Danio rerio: one gene and its partner. Each later gene encodes a partner of the first gene's protein in a complex. Links are inferred from orthologs where the notes say so. Each region holds a gene or a part of one and is shown on either strand. Other genes may lie near its edges.

Region 1 (3,833 bases):
TTTGTTGTTAATTCCGAAAAACAAACTTGCAAATAACACCGCTTTTCTCCGATCTACCTCCGAAAGCAGCACCTCCAATTCACATTCTGTTCAAAGTTTCTCTTTTTGCTTGCTTTTGCCATTGCTTTTTCGTTGGGTTTTGCCATTAGCATAGTCATTAGCATATTCATACGGGGGAGGAGGCAGGGAGGGGTTTTGTGCTCGTGCATGTTGCGCTCAGTTTCACGTTCATTCAGATGTACAAAAGAATATGCGTGAGATTCGGCGTACGCAGTGTTTCATACATCTGAATTTTTTTCTGCGTACGCACATTTACAGCTTTGTGCGTACGCAATGTTTTAGTAAGATTTCCACGCAAGTCTTCGTACATGAAGCCCCAGATGTATGAAACACTGCGTACGCCGAATCCCACGCATATTCTTTTGTACATCCGAATGAACGTGAAACTGAGCGCAACATGCACGAGCACAAAACCCCTCCCCGCCTCCTCCCCCGTATGAATATGCTAATGACTATGCTAATGTTAAAACCCAACGAAAAAGCAATGGCAAAAGCAAGCAAAAAGAGAAACTTGGAACAGAATGTGAAATGGAGGTGCTGCTTTCGGAGGTAGACCGGAGAAAAGCGGTCTTATTTGCAAGTTTGTTCTCCGGAATTAACAACAAAAGAAACAAATAGAGTGGGAGAGTTTAGCTGATGCGGTTAACACAGTTGGGTCTGAACATCGCACTGAGTGCATTAAAAAAAGAAATAATGTGGTTTATATCTGAAAAATGTTGCAATACCTGTAACAGTCTCAGTGGCGCAACTCATAAGACGCATGTCAACATGTTTTGACACGTTCGAGCATGAACTCAGTTCGAATCCAGCGTCTTATGAACTCTTTCTTCTTTTTCGTCCGCTACATATCAGATTTTATCACGAGAAAGACAAGTATGAATCATCAATAAGTTTGTGCATCATATTTTATTTGCACATTTATTGAATGGAAATGTTTCTGATTCACGCATGCAAATTCATCTTCAGATAGTGTCTTTATAGCAATGTGCGTGCAGTAGATTACAGAGCTCAGATTACATTGGGAAAACAGGCGACCACTGCAAATTGTGCTTTAATGTTTAGCTGGTCAACTACGTGGTATGGAAACCTTATATACCTGCTAGATGAACCCGTCTCATACAGCTGCCATTGCATGGCTCAAAGACACTTTGTAGAATGCAATTTAACACAACTGCCTCTAGGAGTCGCCAATGGAAATAAAACAGACACGCACAAAAAATGTGCGTACGCCAGCCAGAAAGCTGCCGTGAAGCTGCGCACATTCCCACGTTCAGTTCATTGTTAGTAAATCCAAACGTGAGCGGTTCTGAGCGTGAAACCTGGCGTACGCAAAGTTTTTGTGCGTACGCAGCGTTGATACATGAGGCCCCTGGTAACAACCAGTACAGAGAAGAAACAGCAACATGGCGGCAACATCAAAATATAAGGCTAAAAGAAAATGTCTGTTTCTAATGTCTTGAAGGCAGACATTTACAAGAGAACAACGCGACAAAAAAAATTAAGTGATGTTTTGCACAGTTTGCCGTCAGTTTGACAAGTCAGCCCATCTTTTGTTAAATAATTTTGAACCGCAATAAAATGCTTCCACATTTTCCATACTACTATTTTTGTTTGCATAACACTTTTATTAAATTTCTTAAGTATTAAATTCTAGATTTAGAATTTATTTTTGACACATTTTTTAAAATATGCGGCTAAAAAATAGCTATTAACTTCCTATGTTTTTTTTTTTTTTGGTGGGGCGAGTGAAAATTTTGGCAGGGCAAGTAAAAATCTGAACCACTGGCCCGATTAGACCAGTAGAAAAAATCCATAGCGTTGAACCCTGCTTGATAATCGTTCTATTTTCCCACCTGCTCTGACACATGTTTGTGTAAAGGATGTATAACAAAGGTGAAAGGACACATCCTTGTGGGGACCCGGTTGAGGAGCAAACTTTATCAGATAGACATCCATTCACTCTAACACTTTGTGTTCGATTAGTTAAAAAATGAAGGATCCAGCCCACCAAGTTATTACTGAGGTCAAACTGTTCCAGCAATCTCTTAATTAAAATGTGAGGTTGAAATGTGTTAAAAGCACAGGTTGAAATGTGTTAATGTTAACTGTGCACTTTCAAATGTTTTCAATCATTTTTCCATTTCATCCCCATCCCTTTTAAAGATGAAGAAGGCTTGTCATTTGCCACACCAGAAGTTCCCACTGACCAGAATGCTGACTCTGTCTTTGGCCGTTCAAATGTGAGCAGTGCACCTGATGTGAGAAGTTTACCAGGATACCGGGTAAAGTTTGACTATGTTTAAATAAAGATGTCATAAAATGAGAAATCAAAATTTAGTTTTTCACATATCGTCACATATCGTCATACCTAACTTAAAAATATTTAAAAAAAGGTTCTATCTGACATTTTTGTCAAAATTGAGTTATTCATATATTCTTTTTAAATGACAACTTATTTACATTATGGGGTGTTTTTTATAAGTTGTTTAAATTTTAAGACTTTTTATTTAAAAAGCAAATGTTACACACATACTGTTTGCTATGGAATGCAGAAACTTTAAAGCGTAATATCTCAAAATCATTCAGAACGCAGATAGAATCTTATAAATCCAAGGTGACGATATGACGTCATAAAAACATCCAGAAAAAACTCCAGACTTTCTTATTAGTAAGCTCACTCTGCAAGATTTTTAGCTCATTGTTGAGTCTATTTATTTACTTCTGTAAATGCGATACACAGTTGAGGTCATAATTATTAGCTCTCCTGTGATTTTTGTTTTATATTTTCCTCTATATCTTTTTAAATATTTCCCAAATGATGTTTAACAGAGTAAGGAATTTTTCACAGGATTTTTTTTTTAGTCTTATTATTTCATTTTGGCTAGAATAAAAGCAGTTTTTATTTTTTTAAAGCCATTTAAGGTCAGCATTATTAGCCCCCTGAAGCAACTTTTTTTAAAATGTCTACAGAAAAAAGTTGTTATACAAGGATTTGCCTAATTACTCTAACTTGCCTAATTAACATAATAAACCTGGTAAGCCTTTAAATTACACTTTAATCTGAATACTAGTATCTTGAAAAAATATCTAATATTATTTATTGTCTCATGGCAAAGATAAAAAGACATTAGAATATAGTTATTAAAGCTTTTATGTTTAGAATTGTGTTCTAAAAATCTCTGTTAAACAGAAATTAGGGGAAAATACTTTTATTAGGGAGGGCTAATAATTTTGACTTCAACTCTATATTTGTTAAGGTTTTATGTTAGTTTCAGTAACATTATTAAATAATATTCAAATGTTTTTACAATTATATTGAAATGCACAAAACAGTTTGTAAAGTAATATTTTGTCTTTTAGTAAACATTATATGAGAGATTTACTTTACTCACCAAACAAGTGGTTCTTATTGCATTGCAAACCTTAAATAAAAGTTTATTTAATGTGTTAAGTTTGTAGTCACTGCATTCTCAAAATCTTTCCACATAAATCCACATGTTTTTTTTTTTTTTTTTACAAAATTCTGCACAGAAATAGAAAATATGTCCACAGATTCTTTCTGGCCTTGCTTATTAGTTTAAAAACAGCTTATACTGAGTTCAATCAGCCTAAACAACAAGTTGTTGAATACACCAATTTTCCTATGTAACATTGTGGGTAAACTCAGCCTCATATGTGCAGAAGTTTACATCGGTGGGCACACAGCTGTCCTGTTGTTTTATTCTGATGCTAACACCAAGTTTCTTAAAGGAAACAACACTGAACTGTTTTTA
Region 2 (3,933 bases), on another chromosome or scaffold:
TCGCTAAGATCCTCAAACCTCAGTTTCTGAAGTTCTGATGACAGCTTTTTCCCTGTTTTTGAAAAATGAACTGCCTGGGATGGTTTTCTCTGACTTTTTGTTGATTTGTGAATTTCATTTCTGTTTGTGGCAAATGTTTTTTTGAGTTTATTGGAGGAAAATTTCTCGTCTGACCTTAAAACAAGGTCTCTTCGATAGAAGAATGATCTTGTGCAAATTTGCTGTGCATAAAATACTGGTGTGAAATACAATTCATTCAGCCCTACAAAACATCTTTTGCTTGTTTGGCTGGACACCTGGTACACTCTAATACTTGTTTTCCACACTTGCATATTTGCAACTGATGAATGTTTAAAAAAAAAGAAAAAAGAAAAAATGTTTCTTTAAAAAAACAACGTAAACAAGTTGATTTGTTGGTTTTAGATTCGTTTGGCACTGATGTAAAATTGGTTTTGAATGTACACATTTGTTTACGGTGCCTATATTTTAACCCACGTTACTTTGAATATTTGGTCTGAATTAGCATGCAAGTACACCTTTAAAACAACATTAGCTCTAACCTTATTAAACTGACTGTGAACAACGTACTTTGATACTGGCTGCTAATATAATTTCCTCGTTTAAAATTAGCAAATGAGACATTTCTGATGAAAGGACAATCTCTAAATGTGCAAATACACCATATTTACCCCAGTCCGTTTGGTTCTTGTCATCTGGTTAGGCTACAATACACATTTAGAAATTCGAGCTGGTATAGTCTGGCAAACTAAGGAGGTCAGCTCAACGCAATATGTTTATTTTAAATGTAAGATTCCTTTTCACTAAAAACCTCAAAACATTTCAAACAAAGCAAAAATGTCTATAGTTCCCAAGTAAAATGCGACATAAGGAAACTAAATAATCGACCGTGTTTAACAAACATGTGGAACAGCTTTCAGTTTGTTGCCAGTGGGTGACAGGAAAAGTAAATGTGTTACCGCTTGCAGATCAGTAGTGAGCACCGGTCATTTATCAGAAGTTCGATCTCAAAGCAGCACAGGCTGATTTGAGAACAGCATATGTTTGCCAGTACTGAGCATGCGTGCATATGGCTTCCGGCCGCTTCCGTTTTAGATTGTTACTATGCAACAAGACGCTCTGATGTGTGGCGTTAACTGTTTTCAGCAGTATTGCATTCACGAGTGAATTATATCAAAACATTTTAAGCTGCCTTAGTCTTGATGTGAGTGTTTTTATAGTAACCGGTGGGAGTTCTACACTATATGTGAAGACTTTTATCTTTTGACGCTGTGTGTCAGATATGGCTGACGGCTGGTGCTCTGACAACGGAGAATCGGTTTACCGTTCCAGGGATGCAGTTAAAAACTTCCGAATACGGTAAGACACGTCGCCTGTGTGCATGTATAACAAACTGATGTATATATTTTAAAGCATTATGAACTATTTTGGACACGGTACTGTGGTGTTGTTTTGGAAGAGCTGTGAAAATACCACAGTAAATTAAAGGGATAGATAGTTCCCCTAAAACTGAAAACTCTGTCATCATTTACTCGCCCTGCTTTTTTCAAACCTTTTCTTTAAGTTTCTTTATATTGCTGAACACAGTAATTCTTCAAAATAGCTTCTCTTCTATAAAAAAAGAAATACTTGAGGCTGAGTAAATACATTAGAAATTGTATCCCTTTGAAAACTATCCCTTTAAATTTTACTTATTTCTATATTATATCAGAGTAACATTGTATTGCATACATCATTACTCTGTGATTTTGTTTAGTTTAGTTTATTTCTCAGTGTACATTAATCATTCACCTAGAACGTAAATATACTTATATTAACCCAAAGACTAGTTTTCATTATTAAGGTAAAGTTGGTTTTATATTCACACATTAATTCAGTGACAACTTGTGACACATTCCCTGCATCGTTTACTACGGCACTTAGAAGATTCGTTCTAAAATAACCTGCAAATGTGACTTGAAAACAACATTACACTGTTTATTTGACTGTGAACAATGTTGTACTTTGATAGTCATTGGCTGCTAATATGATTTCGCTATTTAGAGTTTGCAAATAATACTTTTATGAAATTATATTAGGAGAAAGTCTGAATGTGCGAATATAAAACCAACTTTACCTTTATGTTTTCATTGGTAGTCCCTTTGCCAGATGTTAAAGGCCATACCAATAAAAAAACAAATTCAACTAAAAACAAAACTCAATTAAACAACAGAAAACAACCACAACAACATCAAAAAGCCCAGTGTTCAAAATATTGAATAATAATAAGAAAATTTCTAAAAATGATACTCAAAAAAATCACAATCTCTAACAGATTGTGGTATCTTATTTCACTGATGGGATGCTTTCAAAGAAAAACAAGCTTGACCAAAACAAGTTTTTTAAGTTGAATAGTACAATCAGCTCTATCTGTACCTCAAGTCTTTTGTTTTCTACAGATTTAAACTAGAAAAAAGTTTTACGCAGCGGATGTCCTTCTTGCTGCAACCCCTTACTGGGAGACATCCATATACACTCATTCACATATATACACTACAGACAATTTAGCTTGCCCAACCAATTCACCTATACCACATGTCTTTAGACTGTGGGGGAAATAAGAGCACCGGGAGGAAAACTACATCAACACTGGGATGGGGAGAACATGCAAACTCCACACAGAAATGCTAACTGACCCAGCCAAGACTCAAACCAGCGACCTTTTTGCTGTGAGCGATTGTGCTCCCCACTGCGCCACGGTGATGCCAATCTTTTAAACTGCACAACCATTTTTAAACTTGATTTTTTCCCAACCAAGCAGGCTATGGTTTTTTTAAATATTGAAAAAAAAATTTTTTTTTTACTAAAATCTTTACTAAAAAATTCCAAAAGAAATTACTAAATTACTAAAAAATTACTAATACTTTCCTTCTTAGACTTTAAAGACCTGAAACTTGCCTATAGCACTTATTCATTGTTGCTCTAACAGTTGTGTAAATTGCTTCCTTGTCCTCATTTGTAAGTCGCTTTGGATAAAAGCGTCTGCTAAATGACTAAATGTAAATGTAAATAGTACAGTGTTGAAAACTAAACTTTTTATCCAAAATTTGTTGTTCTTGTTTATATAATATTTATATAGTTCTTTTTATATAATAATTCGAAAGGTTTCAAAACTGTAAAACTTGTTTTTGTGTTAAACCAAATTATCAGACAATTCATATGAGAGAGGATCGTAGAATTTATATACATTTTTGTAGCCTTATTTGATAAAGAATTTCCAATAAACCTAAAATTACCTATATTCAATTTGACCTTGTTACATACCTTTTTATATGTGTTTTAAAACCAAGACAGGAGTCCAGACAAACCCATAGGTATTTACACTCTGTGACATCTTGAACTTTCTCTCCTGAGATAACAACATCCTGTTTTGTTTCAATACGCATGTACTTCTCTAAATGACATGAAGCTATTTTTGACACATTTAATTTTGTGAAACTGCAACTGTTTTTTTGTAAAAGTTTTCACAATGATTCTGTATAATAACTAAATCAATAGTGCTGTGTTTACATGGTATTCAAACATTACTAAAACTAAGCCACTGTAAAACATTGTATCACCTTGTTACTTTTACTGTTTCTGTTTCAGAGTGCGCATTCAGCGTGTGACCTCCACAGCAGCCCTGTCTGAACACCTCCATCAGCAAGTGCTTTCTCAGCAGGAGAGAGGAGTTATAGAGTTGGAAACCTTCAGCACTCAGACGGCCTCCTGTATGTCAAAGACAGATATTAACCTGATAAAGGGATGGCTCACACAACAATGAGAATTTGCTATTTATTTACTCACTCTTTAGACCTAATTCAAATGCTTATTACGGTTTAGATTATTTTCTTACTTTTTAAAAAATACATACAATATATATTTTTAAATATCTAT

The links.
Region 2: tctn1 (region 1) and mks1 share a complex: the UniProt entries of both Homo sapiens proteins name them as parts of the tectonic-like complex. The link is inferred for Danio rerio from reciprocal best matches to the Homo sapiens genes TCTN1 and MKS1.

What each region holds. Positions count from the first base shown.
Region 1 is NC_133185.1:8,983,308-8,987,140, reverse strand, and holds part of tctn1 (tectonic-1), read left to right. Parts: intron 1-2,223; coding exon 2,224-2,342; intron 2,343-3,833. UniProt on the Homo sapiens protein: Component of the tectonic-like complex, a complex localized at the transition zone of primary cilia and acting as a barrier that prevents diffusion of transmembrane proteins between the cilia and plasma membranes.
Region 2 is NC_133180.1:61,446,422-61,450,354, reverse strand, and holds the start of mks1 (tectonic-like complex member MKS1), read left to right. Parts: upstream 1-1,085; 5' UTR 1,086-1,300; coding exon 1,301-1,377; intron 1,378-3,645; coding exon 3,646-3,767; intron 3,768-3,933. UniProt on the Homo sapiens protein: Component of the tectonic-like complex, a complex localized at the transition zone of primary cilia and acting as a barrier that prevents diffusion of transmembrane proteins between the cilia and plasma membranes.